4 linked regions of the Drosophila melanogaster genome follow. The protein of the gene in region 1 purifies or fractionates together with the protein of each later gene. This does not show direct contact. Each region holds a gene or a part of one and is shown on either strand. Other genes may lie near its edges.

Region 1 (4,139 bases):
AAGAGTTTCCGTGTTACTGACGACTTAGCAGCAGACATTAGACCAATAAACCCAGTTAGACTCTTTTCTTTGGCGACTCCAGCAAGCTTGGCCCTAACTAATTAAGCAACAGTTTTCGGCACCTGGTTTATGCATAGTTTGGCGAAACCTCAAAAGTTTGCAGCCAAAAGTTGAGCACAAACATTTATGTTGGCGAAAAGTTCTGTGAGCAGTTGGGCTCCAGTTAAGACTGTCGCTGCTCCTTGTATTTCCGACTTCAGTCCTCCAGAAGTCATTCCTCGCAACCTCTCTTCGTGTGGAAAATCCATCTGGGTTTGTGAAAATGTGACAGAAGAGCATGCGGGGGGATAGATGCACAGATACAGATACAGATACAGATACAGATACAGATACCCGTACTGGGGGATTGCCATGGCAGCTGTTAGAGAATAAAAGTTGGCCGGCAAGTGCCTGATTGACATTCGTCGAGGCCTAATTAAAAAAGTTTCCCCACCACGCATTCCTGCTGCTCCTGTGACGTTCGACTTGGGTTCGATTCACATGGGTTATTGGTTTTTATTGTACGTACAACCGATTGTTTTGGCCACTTTACGCGCTGGCAAGCGAGTCAAGCAGTACAAATTCCGAGTCAAATCAAATAAAAATAGCAATAATAATAAAAAAAGAAGGCGTTGCCGCTCGTTTCCGGTCTTTTCTCGTCTCTTTCTCTTGTTTTCTCTATCTATGTTAAAACTTCTTCATCAACTAAATGTAATTTAAAGATACTTTTCACTGAACTGCGTCCTCACCCTTGGCGCCGGCGCCTGGTCGGATGTCTTACGCTGGAGACAAACACCAGGGCCGCGCTCGAGGAGATGTTGATCTGGTTTGGGTGGCTTGGATGCTTAGAAGCACTTGCGGTGGACGATGCCGGGACCGGACTCGTCATACTCCTGCTTGGAGATCCACATCTGCTGGAAGGTGGACAACGAAGCCAGGATGGAGCCACCGATCCAGACGGAGTACTTGCGCTCTGGCGGGGCGATGATCTTGATCTTGATGGTGGACGGGGCAAGTGCGGTGATTTCCTTTTGCATACGGTCAGCGATACCTGAAGAGGACAGAAATAGAATCCATTAGTGGTGCTACAGAACCGAGGAGCTTTGGTGTACTCATTACATGACATTTTAATAATAGCATGCATGAATATGAGATATAGGGAAAGGATATAACCCATTAGGTGAATTCTTTTTTTTTTTTTTGTAATACTACTTTCCATAAGATTTTTTTTAACTGTTATTACAAAGCTCAGCTAAATATTTAGGCTTTATTATTTAAAGATTTCCTCTCTGCCAAATGAATGTATAAAGTAACACTTGTTTTTTTTTTTAAGTATCCCGCATAGTTTTGATCCCATTCCCTCGGAAGAATTTCCTCTGAACTTTATGGTCCTAATTAATTAAGACTACGCACCTGGATACATGGTAGTGCCGCCAGACAGCACATTGTTGGCATACAGATCCTTGCGGATGTCCACGTCGCACTTCATGATGGACTGGTAGACGGTCTCGTGGATGCCGCAGGACTCCATGCCCAGGAACGATGGCTGGAAGAGGGCCTCCGGGGTGCGGAAGCGCTCGTTGCCGATGGTGATTACCTGGCCATCGGGCAGCTCGTAAGACTTCTCCAGGGAGGTGGAGGCGGCGGCAGTGGCCATCTCCTGCTCGAAGTCCAGGGCGACGTAGCACAGCTTCTCCTTGATGTCGCGCACAATCTCGCGCTCGGCGGTGGTGGTGAAGCTGTAGCCGCGCTCGGTGAGGATCTTCATCAGGTAGTCGGTTAGATCGCGACCGGCCAGATCTAGACGAAGGATGGCGTGGGGCAGGGCATAGCCCTCATAGATGGGCACGGTGTGGGAGACACCGTCACCGGAGTCCAGGACGATACCGGTGGTACGGCCGGAGGCGTACAGGGAGAGCACGGCCTGGATGGCCACGTACATGGCCGGGGAGTTGAACGTCTCGAACATGATCTGGGTCATCTTCTCGCGGTTGGCCTTGGGGTTCAAGGGAGCCTCGGTCAGCAGAACGGGGTGCTCCTCGGGGGCCACACGCAGCTCGTTGTAGAAGGTGTGGTGCCAGACCTTCTCCATGTCATCCCAGTTGGTGATAATGCCGTGTTCGATGGGGTACTTCAGCGACAGGATACCGCGCTTGCTCTGCGCCTCGTCGCCCACGTAGCAGTCCTTCTGACCCATACCCACCATCACGCCCTGGTGACGGGGACGGCCTACGATCGAGGGGAATACGGCGCGGGGCGCGTCGTCTCCGGCGAATCCGGCCTTGCACATGCCGGAGCCGTTGTCTACGACCAGGGCTGATGCTTCTTCGTCACACATGTTTGGTTAGTTTGGTGCGGGCGGCACTACAAGGATACAGACAGATCGGTTATCCCTTATGCGGGTTACGGATTTCGGATGGGCGGACAAGACTACACTCACGACGTGTAAATCCAACAGCGACAGCGATCAGAGTGATTCGTTATGCGCTCCGGCAGCTGCATTTAAATAAGTTCTGTCCCGCCCCGCCGGCCCCACGCCCATGTCCCTGTCATCTCGAACAATTGTTCATCTAGTAACATGTTGATGAATTCCGCGATATGCAACGCTGGCTGGGGATCAGGCGTTTCCGGGGAGGGTGGTCGGATGCACATCATTTCGATTTCACAAAAGTGTTCTGATTTCGGGTATTACGCCTACGGCAACAAGTTGGATTACGAATTAAAGAACCCTAGTTAAGCCACAACTTAGAGCAACTAAATTGGTACTAGATTTCAATATAAAATAAGTTGTTTTGTAAGTTGTAAGTCTTGTTATATTGTTAGAATTTTAATCCGCACACACTTATAAGCTTGTGAAATTTGGGAAAATAAATAATTTATTGGAACGCTGGGCTTAGGCTAGATAGTTTTGATATTTATATATTGTTTTAGAATGGCAATAGTCATAAATATACATACATAATATAAATATTTATATTTATTTTATATATTGTTTTAGAATGGCAATAGTCCCAAATATACACAATAGATATATTTTTTTGACAAATAGCAAAATTGGGTATTCCAATTACTTTTAATTTAAGCATCAAATGACAGAATGTGTTAAGCCAAAGCTAACAAATGGATTTATCTAACGAGCTTCGATTTAAGCTCTGACAATAGGCTCTCCGTTTTTTGATAGAATAATTTATTTCCATCAGGCCCTAAGTCGTATTAGTCAGAGCATTATCGGGATTTTGCGTTCGTTCAGAGTATTCAATTTGCTCCATTCCCAAATACCATTTATCACTTAGTTTCATTTCGTTTTCGCTAAATTATGTCTGGCTGCCAACTTTGCTATGACTTCGACAAAGAACAGAGGAGAGAACATATCGAAATATGCGCCAGGACTTGTATAGGCATCTGTAGATATATTTTTAAGTTTTTATATAAATAAACCCCCGCAAAACGGCGGCGCAGCAACAAGAACAACCCGTGAACAATGCAATGTAGTGGCCAGCCTTTCCCCCAAGTTCTTTATCTTGGTCTTGTAGGCAGCTTTTCCCTGCTCGAGTAAGAGAAATTGGTGCCAATGCTCTTCTGGGCCCCCACTCAGTCCATAGATGGTGTGGCCCGAATGTTGTCACACTCAAAAATGCAGCCAAAGCACTTGCGTTTATACATCTTATAAATGTTGACGCTGTCGTGTGGATTTCATTGAAATCAAATTGAAAAAATAGAATCAAATAATTTTGTACGGCTATGCACGGCACATAGCCCTGTGAGCCCAAAGGAAAGTGGTTGGGGGGTTTGGCGCAGCGGTGCATGCGGCCAACAGCAATTTTGCGCCTGTCCACCGATATCGCTCGATCTCATCGTGGCATTAGCCATAAGATTAATGCCCGATATTCTAATTAAGTGTGCCCCATCCGAGGAGGTGCATGCACTCTGCTTTTACTGCAGCGAGTGCATTCCCCAAAGGAGCAAACTTCTGAGCTCCAACTTTGGCCCGTTAACTTTGCCAAGTGCTCGCCAACTGCGGAGCATTACGTGACCACCTTGCGGATCAGGTACGGACACCAACCACGTATCATTGGTCGTACGCGCGTCGAGTAGTTGAA
Region 2 (7,424 bases), on another chromosome or scaffold:
GAACCTGGTTTACAAATAATCGTAGTTAACACGGATGGGAAAGCTCTGCGACCATGCCGGAAATACTCGCAGACGGCATAATTACAGCTATACTGGTGGCAAGCTAATGCACACGGGGCCGGCTACACGCAGGCGGCACCGTTGCAGGTAACACTGCTGAGAAACTCTACGAAAATGCCCGTAATACTCGGAGACGGCATAATAGTAGTTAACACTGATGGGAAAACTCTGCGGCAATGCCCGGAATACTCGCATGCGACATGATCACAGTTAATACACGGACTCGTTCATTTGTTACTCATATTCCTCCCTTAGCCATAGCTGTCCCTGTCACACTCGAAAATGAATATGATATTATATAATAAAAAAATTTGATTCTTCACAACGGGCTTGTTCCACAGTTTTTGAAATCGAAGGCCATAGGCCAGACTGTCTTATTTTAGTATTCAGAAAAAATATTGCCACCGACTTAGAGTTGGACTTATCAATCCAAGGGAATCAAACGCCTTTTCTATCGTAGAAAGAATTGATCGTCTTGTTCTGTTACGAAGATACGAATTCATATCATAAGTCCAGTTTGAACTTACAATCCGATCTAGATATCTTTCAAATATGGTGCCGTGATAACGTACTAAACTTAAATGGCTCCAAGTGTAAAGTTATGACCTTTTGCCGTATCAACCAATACACACAACTTGCACTTAAAGGGTCGCTCTTTAGACAGAATAAAACGGGTTGATGATCTTGGTGTTTTTCTGGACCTAAACTTAAATTTTAGACCATATTTCGAATATTAAATAAGGCCAGGGGTGTGCTTGGCTTTATAAAAAGGTGGCCAAAGGAATTTTATGATCCTTACACGACCAAAACCTTAGTCCGTCTGATTTTTGAGTAATGGCCACCTGTCTGGAGTCCTCAATACGTCGTTCACTCGGACCGCATTGAATCGGTCCAAAAAAACGTTTTTCTGTTAACTCGGGCAGCGCCCAAGTTATCAGTGTGTCCAAAGGGGGAAGCTGATGAGTTTGGATATAGTTATCGGTATTCCCAAAGGGGGCATACTGAGCTCTTTCGAGTTTAAAACCAGAGTGGTCTTTATTGTGTCGGAGAAGTCTCCTCTAGCTCTTGGTTACTCAAGTTTTTGTCTTATAGATAAGTGCTTTTGGTTTTAAGTGTACATAGGTTCTTAATGTAAATATAATAATTTTTTTAGATTTTGCACCACTTACGGGGAGCATTTTCGAAATGTATTCAAACATAAATTGGCCAGAAGATAAGCAAATAAAGCAATAGATCCGCTATTCAGCTAGTGAGAGCGGGACCGATTTTTGAAACTTTCTGATCAAAAATGTATATACTTTATAGGATCGGAAAATCAACCTTCTGCCTGTTACATATTTAATAACGAATCTTGTAGTCAAGGGTATAAAAAATATATTCCGTTGTTTTATGTTTCATAATATGATTTTTTCATGATTTTTTATATATAATAACTGCGAGGGTGTATAAGCTTAGGAAATGTTATATTTTTATTCTATTCATAATTTTTTTGACCAATTTCTATAAGTATGCCCAAAAAGATTGGCCACGTCCACAATAAATGTAACCGCTACCAGGTTGCAATTGTGAGTAATCTCGTGAAGAGTGTTTTCTAATTTTGTTTTTTGTGTCTCCATTTCCCTTACACTCCCACACGCTGAGTATCAGAAGGGCGAGAAACAAAATTATAGCGTTCGCTCTTGTTTTTGAATTGCAATTTTTGTTCACAAATACCATTTTATAATACGTTCCAAGATCTAATGCAATGTACGGTTTATAAAAATAAAGAATTTTGATGAATATTGTGTATCTAAAAATAAAACTCTGAGTATTTTTCTGTCTTGTGGATAAAATTATCTTTGAGTTACATGACATACGGAATATTTATGTTGTCTTTTTTATTTGGTTTTAATTGTTGTTTTTGTTTCAACAAAAATAGTTGCAGAGCTATCATCGTATTAAGTCTAAAATGTTCCTGAATGTTGAGATGCATCCACAGAAGACACATAGCCCATATGTGTTTTAATCGCGTCAATACCAAGTTTATTTCTCGTCTTCAATTGTTTATTTAGCTTTTAATTAACGGAGTGTTCAATTTTTTAATATTAGAGATTAATCCAAAGAGCTAAAAAAATGAGCGTAAGTTAATCGGCAAAAAAAATAATCCCAGTATAAGTTTCCAAGCTACTTCGAGTTAAAATTTCAAGATTAAAGGAGTCAAAATTATTTCAGATGATCTCAATACTGAACGTTTTTCAGGGTGCAATCAGTTCAAATAAAATAAGTAACGATATAACGTTTTATATAGAGAGTTAATGCTTAACGCCCACGTTCCAGCAATGTTTGCTCGATAACTTTTCAATTAAGTCAGAGAATAAACATATTGTACATTCAACTAATATTTCTTTAAACATCATTAAACAGCTCACACATGTATTTGATTTGCAAATACTACATTTTTACTTTAAGGAATCTTACGTTTTTGGTCCGTCTGTCAGTCAGTCCGTCTGTCCGCATGTACAGGTACATTTACATCTATATACACCCATTCTTGATCACTAGTCGAATCGACCAGGTCATGTCCATCTTCCTGCCTATCTAAGGTATAACAAGAGAGAATGCTATAGTCGAGTTCGCGAACGCGAATTGCATTATTTTTCTGGGATATCGACAGATATTGGGGAGTAAAATGAGAAAAAAATAAAGAAAAGTGTGGGCGTGACCGATTTGGCGGCTTTAGGGCGTTTGAGTGGCGTGGCAAAAAGTTTTTTGGCAAATCTATAGAAATTTACAAGACCTTCTAGCTTTTATAGTTCCTGAGATCTCGACGTTCATACGGACAGACGGACGTGGCCAGATCGACTCGGCTATTGTTCCTGATCAAGAATATATTTACGTTATATAGTCGAAAACTCTTTCTTCTGCCTGTTACATACTTTTCAACAAATCTAGTAAACCCTCTACGAGTAATGGGTATAAATATCGAAATCCGTGGTTAATTTGAAAGTAGCCTTAAAGATTCTTCTGAATCCGTCGTTTCTATTTTCTAGCTTTTATGGATCCCAAAATCGCGTGTATATGATCAGAATAGCTGACCAACTGACGACCAGATTGACTCGGGTAGTGGTCCTGATACTGATTATGCTTATACCTATATTCTTTTTAGGGACGAAAAAGCTTCTTTCTACAAAAATATCAAAGATGGGGTTTATTGAATTTGTTACTTTTCTAAAACAGAGATTCATATTTAGAAAGAAAAGGTAAAGAAAGTGCTCTAGTTAACAAGTTAAGTGGGTCAAGATTAGTGCAGATAAGTGGAGCTAACTTGAGAACATCTTACTAAGAAATAGAAGAAGAGAGAATGCTATAGTGGGGTTCTCCCAGTTTTCTGCGGTATTATGGCGTTAGAGTGGGCGCGGCAAAAAGATTTTTGGAAAATCGATACAAATTTAAAAGACATAAAAGTTTTTTTGCAAATCGATAGAAATTTACAAACAAAAAAATTTAAAAATATCAAAACATTTTTAAAAAGTGTGGGCAATTTTCTGCGATTTGTGGTCGTTAGAGTGATCGTGGCAGCATGAGTCAATGAACTTGCCTTCCGTATATGTCTCTAGAATCTGTAAGCTTAATTTCAGAAAGCTGAAATCGAGACGCTGAATACGGACAGACGGACATGGAAATATCAACTCGGCTTTTGATGCTGATCAAGAATATATATACTTTATATGGTCTGCCTGTCTGGAAATCTAGTTAACACTTTTATCCTACGAGTAACGGGTTGATAGAAAAATTGTTTTGCACGCCCACTCTGACGCCCACAAGCCGCCCATTTTTCTCATTATATTCTCTAATTTCTCCCTATGTCCAAAAATGTCTCGTTCACACTTCCAGCTGAGAAATAGCAATTTATCATGTTTTTGAAGCCTACGGATATCCGATCTTTTAGAGATCCCTCTGTAATTGCTTACATATATTTGTTTATGAAGAGGTATCACGGACTCCTCCCATATATATAAAGGGTAAAGTAGAGGCTTGCATAAGACTTTCGCACAGAGCCTAAGCACTCAGCGTGTTAAGACTGGCTTAACTCGCTGAAGATCGTAAAGTAGTGAGCTTTCGTTTGAAGTGGGGCAAAATTTCAATTTGGACTTCTAAGCCGCTTAAGAGTAAGGGTGTTCGTCGGGGAAGTTTAATTCCCACGATCCCTCTTTCATATTTTTCATCTTAGCTTCAAACTCCTTCACCACCGTACTTTTCGGTCGAAAATCATCAGAACACTTCAAAAAATAAAATGTCACTCACGCAAGAAAATTTAATATTTTCCTTTTTAATGTTATCGGCTTTGGAAGACAAATCTTAAAATTAAAGTAGACATGATGATTGGGGACTTCGGGTACTGTTTATTTTAATGATATATAAATCTTGGTAAGCCTATCACCTCTCCAAAATAATGAGAATTATTATTAAGTTAATTTTTTAATTAAAAAAAATGATTTGTTTTCCCACCGTTCGTCTGTCGTCAACTCTCACTACCGCATAAAAGCTGTCGATCATATAACGATAGGGCAGTGTGCCCGGCTTAGGACTTGTCTTAGCCGACTAGAGTTTTTGTTGGTGTTGGCTAAATGTTTGTACTGAATGAAATATTTCGCCCCCGGTTTATTAACTTTTCCAATAACTTTTCCACTTACCGGAATAGACTCGTTTATTGGCGATTTTCTTTCGTTGCTATTAGTGTGACCCATCATGCAATTCTTGGCTTTAACCTTGAATTTTACAATTTTATAAAATCAAGCAAGGTAGGACCTCCTTTGGAAGGGACAATTTTAGCAATTCAGCTATGTACACACCACAAGGCGGCTTTAAAAATGGCGAATATTGGAGGAGGAAAGCCGCTTTGCATTCCAATCGATTTCCAAAACTATCGTTGACCTTACGTGAAATAAAAACTAATCACTGGCATTAGATTGACATCAAACCACACATCAGGCAGTTAACAATTAAGAATTCAAACACAGTTAAAGTCATGACGCATAAATATATTAAATGAAATTGTATTTTAGTATTATGCCTATATTGTATATTTCTAAATAAACACCCTTATTTTTCTTAGGATGAATTGACTAAGGAGCAAACTGCATGTAAGCTTATAACCCATTTACTGATTTCTTAACTAAAAAGCATTTCCTTATAGTACTACGTAATGCATTTAATGCTTTTGACCCTGAAAAAAATGGATATATCAACACAGCTATGGTGGGTACGATACTTAGCATGTTGGGTCATCAACTTGATGATGCAACTCTTGCTGACATTATCGCTGAAGTCGATGAGGATGGTTCGGGCCAAATCGAATTTGAAGAATTTACCACCCTGGCAGCCCGCTTCCTTGTGGAAGAGGACGCTGAAGCTATGATGGCTGAATTGAAGGAAGCTTTCCGCCTTTACGACAAAGAAGGAAATGGATATATAACTACTGGTGTTCTTCGTGAAATCCTGCGCGAACTAGACGATAAATTGACAAATGACGACCTGGACATGATGATTGAGGAAATTGATTCCGATGGATCGGGTACTGTTGATTTTGATGGTATATAAATCATACAGCTGAATTACAAACGCTTTGCTATTTTATAACATATATTATTTTATAGAATTTATGGAAGTAATGACCGGTGGCGACGACTAAAACAATATCAAAAGAGTACATCGAAATAAGTATTTTAATTTAAACAATGCAATCAAAATTGAATGACATGAGAAAAAATTATATTATATTATTTTGTCTAAAGTAAATAAGTAAATTGATCGTATGAAAACGTAAAATATTTTATTCTTACGCATTTTTTTAAAACCCTTTTAAGTTACTTTAAGTAGTCCTGCCAAATGGAATAAATCTCTATCGGTTCCACGCAAATAGTATAGTTTAGTTTTGTATAGTTTAGTTTATAGTTTATAGTCACGTTGGCCGTGTTGTTAGAGGCCTTGGACTGCTTGCGCCACTTTAGTCGAACTGCATTTTCTTTGTTGCTATCAGTCTGACTCAACGAGCCATTTGTTTCCCCCCTTTGCTTCAGACTCTTGGCTGCTCGGAATTTAACGTTTCTGTAAGGGAGGTGGACGAGTACGGAGCGTTAAGAAATTTTTGGTACATCGCAGATTGAAGTCCAAGCGGATTAACGGATTCACTCGCCAGTCAATTTAGAAAAATTAGCTGGAAGACGGATAATTTTAAGGAATTATGCGTAAAAACGACAAGGATTGTTTTTAGTCAAAAAGCACGAAGTGATAAACAATGCCTTAAGAGAATTATAAAAAAGATATTGTCCGATTAATAAATCTGGAGAATTGAAAGGTAAAACATTAAAGCAACTAGAGCGATACAATGAAAATGATACAGGCCAATATTAAATTCCTCATTAAGCATTTATAAGAGAGGATAGTCTTATCACTAAGCTTCGGGTGGTGTTTGACGCAAAGACCAAAACAACAGATGGGAAAAGCTTTGGTATTCACATGACTAGGACATACATTTAGAGGATAGGCAGCACGTGCTTTCCCCTCCCACCACCTCTAGCTGACCAAATTGCAGCTGAAGTCATTGTTCTGCAAGTGGGTCATTATCTACTCTACCTCCACCGCCGGGAATGTCGGTGTCAGCTAGCGCAGCATCAGCACCGGAAGACAGGCTAACGACTCTGGAGCTCTGCAGCGTACCGATGATGAAAGGGCATACGGACCTTGTGTTTGGCTAAGCGTTGGGCCGCTGAGCTTACGAGCGGCTGGCGAAGCGCTGGCCACTCGTTCGATTTTCGATTTTTTTTTTTATCAAATTATAAAATTGTACTTAATTATAGAAATAAAAGAAACTAAGACCTTGAAGTATTCATTTTTCATATGGTGAAAACCGAAAGCATGCAACTCCCTGCAAGGATTCCAACTCCAAGTAGTATTTTCGACTGCTTAGATTGGCGCCCGAACAGTTCGCTCATCACGAGGATGGAGAATGAAAAAAAGGGGAAAATGCTTGCGACCGGTGCACCGCGGTGATGAGAAAAAACTATAAAATGTGAACAAAAAGTCCAAATAATAAAATACAATAGGCTGATACGCACCACGGTGACAAGATAGTTCACGGGTGTGATGTGCCAGATGTGACAACTAAATATTTAAAAAATCCAAATATGAAATAAATATAAAAATTAAATAAATATATATAAAAATAAAAAAAATATGGCAAAGCGTTAAGCTTGTTCAAGGGCATAAGATAAGATAAGATAAGATATATGAAATCAATTATGGTGCACGGTCGTGAGGGGAAACCCTATTGTGCGGAGACTTACCAGAAACGCTAAGAGGCGTTGAATGCGATCCATACCTTA
Region 3 (4,922 bases), on another chromosome or scaffold:
ATAGCGGCCACTCCAGATCACGATGACCTGGTCATAATAGAGCAGAGCTCATTGACAACAATAACCAACAAGTCATTGTTTACAAACAAGAAAGAATAAACAAACTGACTACAGTATCTAAAGCTCTAACAATTTCTATACAAAAGGGCAGTTCCGTTCGTTTAGAAATTGCTCTTAGTTTACAAACCCAGATTAGACTCCTAAAAGTAGAAACTGCCATCCAGTGGGCGCGACAAGAGGTCGTAACACACTAGTACTAAATGAAGATGAATTAATTGAAATAGAAAGAATATTTAAGGGAAACAACATGTTATTACTATCGATGAAAGAAGCTATGGCGTTTTCCGAGGTCTCTATTCTACATAATAAGACAACACATTTGTACATCGTAAAAGTCGCAAACTTTATAGAAATACTAAGATATCATTGTAAAACCAATAGTTAAAAACAACAGAACTACAACAACTTAGACTTTCAAGAAATCTTTGCTTTCGAAAATCTTACCTATATATACATATATAAATATGCGATGAGAAAAAAATTGTAAATATAAGAAATTAATTAATTAAATTAGTTGATTGCTCTCCAAATTTAGTTCTGGGAAAGAAAGATCTGTGTAGTTTTAGCAACTCCGACAACTTATCCAGAATGGAAGAGGTCGACGACGGAATCATCCTATTAAACGATTACGATGGAATCATATCCTGGATCCTCACAGAGCTTCACCTACTTTGTTTAGCTATCAAACGACTCGATGATTATCGACAACAGGGGGATTCGCCAACTTGGAACCTACAGCCCTGTCTCCTAGTTCGCCTCTTGTACAATTTACAGATGAAGAAAAAGAAAGACTGAGGTTATATCTCTTGAAACACTGAACCGTTGCATATACATAAAAGGCCAACAGCATAACCCTACTGACGCTCTTCGACAATACTCTGATTATCATCCTGGGCCTTCACACCTATAGTCAAAGGAAGAGAAGCATAAACTTGCAGCTTAGACCTATACCGGGAATGGAAACAAAAGTTAACATCAGCTACCTCAGTTCAATAACATTCCCTACATAAATTAGAAAGTTAAAGTTAATAACAATGAATTCAACATCGGTCTACAACAGAATGTAATAGAGTAACAAACCCCAAATATGCAAGCTCAGCGCCACCAAGCAGATTTCCCAAAATGTGTTTGGCAATTGTTTCCGCTCCCACCAGCGCTTGTGATTCCAAGAAGCCGACGTCGATCCTCTGCCAATAAGGACAGCACAGCCGACAGCTAAAGACTCGCAGCTTATAAAGACGATGTTCTCACTTAAGTTTATAGTCCAACTCTTTTAATGCTCGTTACTCATAGAGTAAAAGGGTATACTAGATTGGTTGAAACAGGCAGAAGAAAGCGCTTCCGACAATAAAATGTATATATATTCATGATCAGGATCAATGTATCGATTTGCAAAAAAAAATTTTGCCACGCCTACTCAAACGCCCCAAAGCCGACAAGCCGGTCACCCCCGCACTTTTGAAAAATTGTTAGATATTTTTCATAATTTTATTGGTCGTGTATATTTCTATTGATTTGCCAAAAAACTTTTTGCCACGCCCACTCAAACGCCCTAAAGCCACCAAACCGGTCACGCCCACACTTTTTTAACAATTTTTTATTTTTTTTTCATTTTATTTTTTTTCTAATATCAATCAATCAATCGATATCAATCGATTTTCCAGAAAAATTATGAACTTTCGCGTTAGCATTGACCCTAGCTTAGTTACTGGTATCTGATAATCAGGGAACTCGACTATAGCCTTCTCTCTTGTTTTATATTATTATACCCGTTACACGTAGAATCAACGAATCTAATTTTACTCTACACGTATGGGGCATAAAAACATATATATATTTTCTTATATGTATATATATTGTTTTTATATAATATTATATCTTAACAGTAATAGACAACTATAGACCGCCGATCACAATGGTAATAAGACATAAAACTGTACATTTGAATGTTGAATATTGTATCTCCTATATATGTATATGTATATGTACATAAAACCGAAAATAAGAATTGTGAGTTTTATAAAATGTGTGCTTTATAATAGGTTATGCATGTACTATAAATATATACTTGTGAATATACATGTGTGTAAGCTTGCAAAAATAGTAAATATTTTTCTATTAATAATCATGTCAATTAATTATCAATTCTTTAAATGTTAAAATGATTTTTGATATATTTTACTATTAGTGTTCAAATACAAAATTAAATAGGGGTGAATTGTTCGCTTTTTTTCCATTTTAAATGGTTAATTAGAGCATAATCTATATGGAAACTTTCACGAATAACATTGTAACAGGTAGGCTTAATATTTGGTAGTAGAAAACTGAATTGTTATTGATTGTGATTTCAAAACAGTGCTATAGTTTACTTAATACAATAATTACATTTAGTACAATGGAAACTCCTAATTAAAAATAAACTACCTTTTGAAAGAGAACAAATATATACAAATGCACTTTCTATACAATACACATTTGTATGTATAATGTTTAGATACATACCATGTAAATAATGTTGCCAAAGTGTACGACTTTTGGCAAAAGGTTTAGCAAATTTAGTTAGTCTGAAGTAAGCTATTCCGAAGGTAAGGAGCTCATATTTACTATTCAAGAACTTTTTACCTAAAAGTACTATTTATAGATACCAAAAAATTTTAATTTATTTATAGACTTTTATTAGTTCAGATAGTAATGGTATTTCTACTTTTAGCTATTTACATTTTATGAGGATAAGCTCCAAACAAATTCCGTCATAATGGCTTATTCCTGGGATAACCGTGTCGATTTTGTCGTTCGGTATATGTATGGTGAGTAGAAAAGGACTTAGGCTTATTAAACGTATCCTATAGTGAATTAAAATACCTTAAAAATTTACGTATATTTTATACAAAAAATTTAAGTTTATATTCCATTGCATTGAATACATAAAGCCATTTTTATACATATCTTCGGAACTATCCGAAATCCGATATTTTAACAATATATACATTTTATTTTAATTTTATTTAATATGGGACGACTATATCATATAGCTGCATTAAGAACTGCTTGAAAATTAAACACCCAAAATAGAATATAAATAAAAGTTTCGTTTTTTAACACTATGGGTGCTAAGTAGACATATATGTTTTTGTAATTACTGAAAGGGTATTTGGATAGGATTAATCAAATTTGCAAGCGCACAAATACAATAAAAATAACATTTACAATTGCTGCGGATCAGATTTATGTAACAATCTCAAGTCTGGCAATTTAAATGTTGCGCCATATTTATGATGTAGTTTTATAATCCGTTAAAATGAGGTCACATGGAACCGGTCAAGTGGTCATTGCAGCTTATATGAGGTTAAGCCAAAGACATTTGAAGAACAAGATGCGTAACGCCATACAATTTTTTGCACACAATTTTATCGGGATGGCTCCAGAGGTGGCTCAGCAGTTCTTTTCTACGCATACAGTGACAGCCGACAACTGTATGGTAATGCATTGTAAATTTGACAATTTACAAGTTCATAGACTTTACATCTGTATTATCTTTGTTTAATTGGCAACATGTAAAAAATTCTTGGCTTGCATGGCCTTAACCAAAGACCCTAGTGTCTAGTTTCTTTGCCTTAACTATATTATTATTTGAATATATATGTACATAATATCACAAAATAAATTTCAAAGATGACTATATTAGAACAAAGGTTATTAGGGCGTTCACTTGCCCCTTGTGAAAAATTAATAAGGCAATCATTGTTGCAATAAACGTGTTCGTGTCTCAAGATATGACTTTTGCAATAAAAAGTTTTCATATTTTTATTCATTTTATAAATATTTATTTTCTACTACTTATTATTTTTGTGAAATATCTTTTCCTCAATGTAATGACTTCTTTTTGGAAAAGTTATGTTTTAATTTAAAATTTTATTATTTTATTTTATTATCCGTTTGATTAAAGCTGACTATACGCCGAGCTTCTCTATTTTTTGAAAGTTTCGCTATATAACCTAGTTTATATATTTAATTAAAGTCGTTTTGTTGCAATATCGTACTTTAGGTGATATATTCAAGGTGTAAATTCGTAATTATTATTTTATTTTATCATATTGCTAAGAAATTGGGTATACTAGGGTATACTAGACTCGTTGAAAAGTATGTAACAGCCAGAAGGTAGCGTTTCCGACTATATAAAGTATATATATTCTTAATCAGGATCAGTAGCGGACATGTCCATCTGTCCGTATGAACGTCGAGATCTCAGGAACTATAAAAGCTAGAAGGTTGAAATTAACCATACAGGTTCTAGAGATAAAGACGCACACTCATTTTTTCATATTTTTATTAGGCTTTAAAATTTCTATGGATTGGCCACAAAACTCTTTGCCACGCCCACTCTGACGGCAGGTTACAGCTAGGTTATGTTGATCATTAACCGAAATTATATTAGGCTAAGTTAAGCCGAGCTTTAAATCTCTCTAAATGCCTATGGGACTCTTGTGGACTCCAAATGGCAACCTCAACTTCACTTGGTCGTAGGGAAAATATTTCAGAGTGTTCAGACAACACGGTTTTCGAGTGTTCGCTTGGATCTCCAATCGCTAAGCTATGAAATCACTGAAATCTATATTCATTGTTAATGGTTTACAATATTAATCTTTGTGCAAATTAAAAGTGTTCCTTTTTAATTATTTGAACAAAAAATTTTTATTTTATTATAATTTAATATTTTATTCATGATAGACCTTTTCACTTATACTATTACAAGACATTCTTTTTATCTCTTGTCTTAAATTTAAAACTGTTCACGATCTCGTCCCGATTCAGACTGATCTTCTAAATATTAATCCTAATCCACTCAACCTTGGCCAGAAGCT
Region 4 (7,920 bases), on another chromosome or scaffold:
GCTTCGCCTCATTGTACAACTTGTGCATCGCGGCCACAATCTCTTCGTAGGCGCAACTCAGCTCCGCGTCGCTCAGACGGGCATCCTTTAACTTGGGCGCAGCGTTATGATTGTCACCGATGAACCGCATTACCAGCACGTGCTTCTTCAGCACAACAACGTCTGGAACGTTTAGGCCAATGGCTTGCATCCTCATCAGATTATGCATCTCCTTCTCGGCCCACATATTGATAATCACTCGGTGGTTTTGTTTGCTAAAGCGATCCTTGAACCGATAGTCATCCTTGATGTATCTATCGCGCTGCTTGAACTCGTTGAGCGTGGTTTTAAAGATTTTAATGGCACACTCCCGGGGCAAAAGCTGCGGTGGAACGAGCACACCACTCTGGTGACCATGCTCGTTGCTGCCCGTATAGTTCGCATCGGAATTGGCGTGCAAGATGACCGCCTCCTTGCCCGTGGATATAATGCCGTTGATCTGCTCCAGTATTTGGTTATTGATCAGCTTGTACAGCAGCAAACGTGTACCCGCATCCAATCCCATCTCCGCGGTGGCCACTTTCTCGTGCTTGTCGGAGCGGCCTCGTCGAGAATGGGCTCGTAGTTGGTTAAACACCTGAAAGGTACGTTTAAGTCTTATTATCGCTTAAAACTGACCGCTTCTAACCTTATTGGAGAGCTTCATGTCGAAACCGGCAGCATCACCGGTGGGAAACTCCGGCGGAAAGGACATCACGCGCTGGGCATTACGCACGGCGCACAGCTGCGGATCGTGCTTTGTTATCATCTCGCCCTCCTTGTTAACTTTAAAGCCGCAGCGAGGTATGGAGTCAAGCTGCCGTTCATTGTCCTCGAACCGATCCCAGTCGTGCTTCTGTTGCTCCAATTCATCCTCTTCGTAGTCATCTTCCGCGGTGTCGTGCAAGAACTCTGCATCGCCATCACGTAGGAACTTATTGAGGGTAACAGTGACCTTGGATTGCTTGTTTTGCTGCCGCTCGATACGACGCAATTCCTCATTGTACTCGTGATCGAACTGGGACTGCAACAGCTGGGCAATAACTGCATCGCTGTCTTCCGGCAGCTGAATGTCCTCCGCTACGTTTCCTTCGTCATTGAGGAGCGCAGAGTAATCCTCCCAATCCTCCGCATCACTTTGGATACTCTGCGCATTGGGCGCTGGCGGGGATGAGGCTTGCGACCCCCAAACGGGTGCTATCTGTTCGTCCGGTCTTTTCAGCTTCTCCGTGTGGCGCTGCAGCTCCTTGTCGTGCAACTTGTGGGCATATTGCTCCGACATTATATCCGCCAGATTCACCTGCTGCACAGGCTCGCTGGTCTTAACCCATGGCGACGACATTCTGCACAATCGAAAGAGAGTCAATATAGATCACAATTTGGTGCTGTGATTCCACAAACCTATTGGAACTTGGCTTGAGAAGATCGAGTTCTATATCGGTGGTAATTGTGGCAGTTTACAAACAAGCCTCTGTCCAAATCCTGACCAACGGCGGGTTGCAGGTGGACTCTGATATGTCCGCGGTGGAGGACAAGTGACAGTTTTGGCACTATAGATGACCAATATAAGGGGAAGCCAATTGCAACCCTTGTTGCAATAATATTTCTATTGTATTTCTCCAAACAATCCTTTTTCCAATTGTTGTGAAATTATCAGCTTATGAAAGTATCGAGCTATCGCAGAACGATAGACCCGATAAATTTGGAAATAGAAGAACTCCTAATATCGAAAGCTTTGCTTACAATTTTTATAACGTTAAGTTAAAGTTATATTATACTTTAATTTGCATACTTAGAAAACGTTTTATTTGTCATATTTTAGGAAAAGGCAGAAAAATATATCGTTAGCAAGGGCGTTGCCACATCGTCAGTTCTAGAGCGACGTTGCCATCGTAGTTTCGATGCCAGTAATCGATACTTTTTGTTGTAGTTGTACATTTTTCGCCAAAAATAATAATAAAAGTGAAAAATTTTTTTTGTTAATATACGTTTATTTGTTGTACAAAGGAGAAAATGTTATTAAACTGATTGGCCGCCCCAGCATTTTCGTGACCCCCGCTCCAAATACAACAAAATCGAACGGCCGCCAGCAACAACAAGGTGCAGTAAATATTCAGTGCGCTGGTAAGAAAGATGGAAACAAAACGAGAGACCGAAAAAGCAATCAAAATAGAATTCCGAATTTAGAATATGACAGACTGAAAAAAATTTTCAATTCGAACGCATTGCCGCTGCTGCTGCCCGCTCCTCTTCTTCTTCATCTCCTCCTCCTTCTTCCTCTTCTTCGCCAGCCGCTGTGGGGGGACATTGGGGGTCAAATGCAGAAGATCGGGACTGAAGATTTCGTGAATTTGTGATTTCCGAATTCGTTCCTGCTAATTTGCGACTGCCAGACTCAAAGAACACACACACACATACACACCAGCACACACCCACACGCTTGCACATACATTCGCTTGTGGCCGCCTGTAATTATGATTTTTATTACTCCTGCAGCGCATATCGCCTTCTTTAACCGCCAATTGCTCCTGCTCCTGCCCACTAACCAAGTCAAACCAAAAGAAGCGATTACTCTCCAAGCGCCAGCGGAAGTGAAATGATAAAGTCCACCACGAATCCACAGGAACAGCGTCTGCCACGCCCCGAGGATCAGTCGCCAGCGCCGCCGCCGCCGCCCCCCTCCTCAGCCACCACCTCCACCGCCGCCCCAGCCACGCCCACGCACCAAGTGGCCACCGTGATAGCCAACATGGACACCCTGAAGACAGCCTTTCTGCCCAATCTCAGCATGGACCCCAATGTGCACGTGTCGCCGCACTATTGTCCCATGTGTCACCAGCAGTTTGAGCGACCGCAGCACGTCGCGGATCACATGCAGCTGTGCCACGGGATCACGCTGAACGCCCAGGGAGCCATTGCCACGCTGGACGGCGGTCATCCGCAGGCACAGCAGCACCCCAAGCTCAGCCACCCCTGCTTCAATTGTGATGAAAAGTTTGGCAACGCCGTCGATTTAGACGAACACCATCGGCTGGCCCATCAGACGCCCGCCTTCCTGTCCCGCTGCCTTATGTGCAGCATCTATGGCATCCACTCGGCCACCCAGCAGCCCAACGAGTACAAATGCACGCAGTGCGGCTCCATTTGCACCACCGCCATGCTGGCTGCCGGACAGCAGGGCTTTATGGAACAGCAGGAGGCGGCGGTGACGCCCGACGATCAGCTGCCGGCAATGGCGCCCCGTGATATGAGACTGACGCCCGAGGAGCAGCACCATCAGCAGCAACTGCAGGCGGAGCACCACCATCAGCAACAGCACCAACAACAACAACAGCAGCAGCAGCAGCAGCAGGAACTGCTGGAGCAGCAGCAGCGTGAAATGCAGGAGCAGGCGCAACAGCAGCAGGTGCACCATCACCAGCAGGATCAGGATCTCGCCGGCGACCAGGTGGCGCTGAAGGTGCCACCACTCACCGTCAAGCTAAACAAGAACGCCAACGGTGGCGCCATTGTGTCGCATCCGCAGGTCATTATCAAGGAGGAGCCACTCAGCCTGAGCGACAGTGGTGATGTTGTCAACTCTGTGCCTGTCTATGCCATACAAGCCAATCCCGGTGTACCCGCTCCGGCCAGTTCGGGTGTGCTAGTCGGCACACAAACGGTACCTGCCGATCTGGCGCACAAGATCCGGCACAAATGTCCGGATTGTCCAAAGACCTTCAAGACGCCCGGCACGCTGGCCATGCACCGCAAGATACACACAGGCGAAGCAGAGTAAATCCATTTTATATGCATCTTACGGACTGGGTATTCCGGCAATGATAGCTACTGGACAGCGACTTTAAAAGCTCTAGTCGAGTAACTGGCATTTGATGATCTTATAGATATTTTAATGATAGTAGTTAGTTTGTTAGTTAGTTAGAAGTGATGGGATATTGTCGTGCAAAGAAGAATTTATAAAATATTGATAGATATAGTATAGATCGCAGTGTAATCTCAACAAGATTAAGTGTCTTTGCATCCAGGAAAGCTTTCAGTTGCAATGCTTTAAGATAAGAATGCTTCCTAGCTCATTGCCGGATTACCTGTTATTCATTCCAAGGCATTGCCCGCTCTAGCTCAAAGGGGGGGATACCCACGTAGTTTTTTGTGGGTCTTCCTTTGCGACTGGGGCGGCGTGATCGCCGAACTAACCCCAATAATCTTACCACCTTGTATATATATATATATATATATTATTTTTGATTTCCTTCGGGCCAGCTGGGCGCATGGGCGCGCCCTCGAAGCTCTGGGACGAGGCCCATGCGTTCGTGTGTCGTTTGTTTTGCAACTTATTTTTAAATCGAGTGTTACTAATAATATAATTTAAATTTCTTTCTTTTCTCCCGCGCCCACTCTCTCTCTCTCTCTCTCTCTGTATCTTTTTCCTCTCCGTTTCTGCGCGGTATTTTGTGAATATGAATATAAATAATTGTTAACTCTCGAATCTCCACTCTCCGAACCGCAACTCCGACAGCGCCACGCCCAAAGAACGCCCCTACACGTGCTCCTACTGCGGCAAGTCCTTCACTCAATCGAATACACTAAAACAGCACACTCGCATACATACAGGTGAGAAACCATTTAGATGTGGCTATTGTGGCAGGGCGTTCACTGTTAAGGATTACCTGAACAAACATTTAACGACTCACACGGGTGAGAAGCAATATTTTTCAAATCAATTCAGTCAGTCAATCAGCTCTCAATCAACTCAACCAATCAATCGACTTTTCAATCAACCAATCAATCGATCAGTAAATTGTCACCTCAGCGTGATGAGCAAAAAAAAAAAAAACAGCAATACTCAAAAAAGAGAAACCTCTGTATGCAAGTCCATTTCCATTTGCCATACACAAACTCGCTCAATCTCTATCAATCAATCTCGATCAATCAGTACCAATATCAATCTCTCTCACCTCTGCCAGTCGTCCTGCCGAAGCTCGATCATCAGACTCGAGCCGCCGCAGCGGCTGCGCAGAAAACCACGCCCAAAAAAGGCGGCAAAAATCCCCAACCTAATGGCCAAGATTCAGATCTGGCCAGGATGTCACTTGCTAGATTATATTCTCCGTTAATTACAGTCTAAATAATCGAATTATAGTAATTAGTGAGAAATTGAGATGATTAATGTGAAATCAGTGTGCAATTAAATGAATAATATAACGTTTCGATTATGTGTGCTTCTATATTAAGATCTTTCATCTTGATTGCATTGCAAAAGCTTAATTTTAGATTATAATCAAGCGTCTAGTTCGAGTTTCTATTCGATTTCCAGCAAGTGACATTCGGGGCCTTGAATTTTTGCCGCCTTCGATTAGCGACAAATAACGAATCGTATGAGTCACAGTTTACATACCCTCACAGAACGAGAAAATATGAAAAGATCATCAACTATTTTTCAGCAAAAGCTTTCTGTGAGGGTAGCCAAGCAATATGATAATCCAAATCCGTATCGCCCGCCGCCTCATCTCATTACGTAATAATATTTCTCGAATGCATTTTAACAAACACCAACCAAATATATACACACATTTAATATATAATCAATATATATATATAGTTTGATTACGTGCAAAACCTATTTGATATGCATACATATCTACTCTACCCACACATCCACCACTCTCAGTCAATCAATCAATCAATCAAACCTTTGGTACTGCACGCACCAAGCAAACTGGCTAAGTGCTAGCGACATGTGCTAACCGAGTATCCCAACTTTCTCCGTTTCGCCAATCGTGGCTGTTTTGCAGGAGAGAAGCCGTTCCACTGCGGTTACTGCGAGAAGTCCTTCAGCGTGAAGGACTATCTGACCAAGCACATACGGACGCACACCGGCGAGAAGCCGTACACCTGTCCGTATTGCGACAAGCGCTTCACGCAGCGCAGCGCCCTCACTGTGCACACGACCAAGCTGCATCCGCTCTAGGGAAGGCCGGGCGGTGGCCGCCAGTTACCCGTTCCTGCCCCAGCCGCTCCTCCTCCTCCTACTCATCCTCCAAATCCTTCTGGTCCTGGTGCGCCGCCGCCGTTGTCCGCCGACACGGATACAGATCCCAAGAAGCCATCTGCGGCGGCTGCGGCATCGGCTTAGGACGAACTGCAGCGGAAACGGGATGAGCAAACCATAAATGAAAGACCATTTCAAAGACGAGACACACTCACGTAGACGGGAGTTATGCAACTGCAGCGGATGCAACAACTGCAACCAACGACTGGCAAATCTCTTCGCAGTGCTGCTAGATTAAATTACTAAATTAGATACATACCTTCAGTTCGGTTAACACAGAAGCAGAAGCAGAAACAGATTTGTACTAAATTAGCATACAGTTCGTAGAATGTTTAAGTTATTGCAATCGATTTTTGATTCTTATTACTATTTGGTTATGTAGATGTTTTGCAATTTTTATTTTTTATACACCTATGTATATCGTATATAATATTTTGTTATTCTATGAGATTTTATATGGTGACTCCATAGCGCACACTCACTTACGCGCGGCGCTATACAGACACACACACAAACACACACACACCCAAAACTACACACAACACACATATATTATTTATAAAGAGAGAGAAAATATTTTTACTCATATACTTTGTGGCAATATTATTTTTATTACTTCCTTAAATTGTTTGTAAATGTTACTGAAAGCAGCAAAACAAAAAGAAAAAGGTAAACTCATGTCTACGCGCAAAACTTAAATTATTTTTATAAATTATACATCTATTTTATTCGAACTCAAAACAACACAAAATTATTTATTTTTACGTGAAAGAACGTTTTTCAAAATTTCGACTCGTAGCGGAAATGACAAAGGACCAATACGAAATTTAGTCATTTCTCAATTATTTGCACACGAGCAGGATCTCGTTTGTTTTGGCTTTAAAAATTTATTTACTTTTAATTAACTAAATGATCTAATCATTTTAGCTTGTTTTTATTGATGAATGTTAACCATTGTTTATTTTTTAAATTATTTAAGTTGAAAGCGCTGCTTTTGTTTGTTAAACTAAACTAAACTAAACAGTGAGATTGTATAAAACTTTAAAAAAAAAAGGAATAACGAAAAACATAACTAAGAAATTAATTTTACAAAATTTGCATTTTTTAACGCAAAACAAAAAGTATTTAAGGCAAATCGAAATGAGAAATCTACGCTAAACGCAACACAGCTTTATGCGCCAAACTAGAAGATTAAAAAAAAATTAACATAACGATCTACACAATTGATACTTTTGATAAAAAGAAAGCTTCAAGTTGTTTTTGTAATATATATAAATATGGATTGATCATTTTTACGACTACTTAAACGCGTTTTTTTAAACCAGCAAATGATTACTTGCAAGAGTTGTACGTACTAAAATCGACTAAAACTTAAACTAAAACTGTAGCAAAACCAAAACCATGTACATTTTTATAACATAGTGTTATATAATTATAAAGTATGCAAATATATAAACCTGTATCTAATATTAATGCATAATACACTCAAACAAATTGTCTACCTAATGGCACATAGCACAGCAACAAACGATGCGCAGCGCATGTAAAACCAAAATAAATTCTAAGTACTAAACTATTGTAATTCTTTAAGTTTTAAATAAACCGTGAAGAGTTGACGATCAAAAGCAAACAGCAAAACGCTAAATGCAGCAAAAAAAAAAGAAACGCCTAACTAACCGCAACACTGAAAAAAAAAACCAATTAACTCTGCTGTAAGTGATTACCAATGAATGAGTCATGTTGAATGCGATACGTACTAAATAGCGACTAACTATTAGTATTAGATCTTAGCCACGAATCCAAAAACGAAGCCAGACAACAGACACACAGAAACAGAAACACGAACATGAGCA

Evidence for each region.
Region 2: the proteins of Act79B (region 1) and TpnC41C purify together in Drosophila melanogaster (affinity purification with mass spectrometry, with the first as the bait; one large-scale study listed by BioGRID). This does not show direct contact.
Region 3: the proteins of Act79B (region 1) and Scp1 purify together in Drosophila melanogaster (affinity purification with mass spectrometry, with the first as the bait; one large-scale study listed by BioGRID). This does not show direct contact.
Region 4: the proteins of Act79B (region 1) and Cf2 purify together in Drosophila melanogaster (affinity purification with mass spectrometry, with the first as the bait; one large-scale study listed by BioGRID). This does not show direct contact.

Annotation. Positions count from the first base shown.
Region 1 is NT_037436.4:21,983,589-21,987,727, reverse strand, and holds Act79B (actin 79B), read right to left. Parts: upstream 2,519-4,139; 5' UTR 2,480-2,518; exon of another isoform or gene 2,404-2,479; 5' UTR 2,378-2,403; coding exon 1,453-2,377; intron 1,091-1,452; coding exon 885-1,090; 3' UTR 538-884; downstream 1-537. UniProt on the Drosophila melanogaster protein: Actins are highly conserved proteins that are involved in various types of cell motility and are ubiquitously expressed in all eukaryotic cells.
Region 2 is NT_033778.4:5,064,736-5,072,159, reverse strand, and holds TpnC41C (troponin C at 41C), read left to right. Parts: upstream 1-1,949; 5' UTR 1,950-2,172; coding exon 2,173-2,178; intron 2,179-5,155; coding exon 5,156-5,183; intron 5,184-5,236; coding exon 5,237-5,632; intron 5,633-5,696; coding exon 5,697-5,731; 3' UTR 5,732-6,923; downstream 6,924-7,424.
Region 3 is NT_033778.4:2,965,040-2,969,961, reverse strand, and holds the start of Scp1 (sarcoplasmic calcium-binding protein 1), read left to right. Parts: upstream 1-1,909; 5' UTR 1,910-1,978; intron 1,979-2,617; exon of another isoform or gene 2,618-2,645; intron 2,646-2,770; 5' UTR 2,771-2,815; coding exon 2,816-2,867; intron 2,868-4,922.
Region 4 is NT_033779.5:4,877,087-4,885,006, reverse strand, and holds Cf2 (chorion factor 2), read left to right. Parts: upstream 1-1,899; 5' UTR 1,900-2,118; exon of another isoform or gene 2,119-2,142; intron 2,143-2,205; exon of another isoform or gene 2,206-2,514; 5' UTR 2,515-2,614; coding exon 2,615-3,792; intron 3,793-4,534; coding exon 4,535-4,713; intron 4,714-5,810; coding exon 5,811-5,986; coding exon of another isoform or gene 5,987-6,151; 3' UTR 6,152-7,897; downstream 7,898-7,920. Other genes in the region: CG3008 (uncharacterized protein), read right to left, coding at 1-616, 668-1,360. UniProt on the Drosophila melanogaster protein: Transcriptional regulator; binds to the promoter region of Cp15. Also binds to its own promoter, thus having a probable autoregulatory role.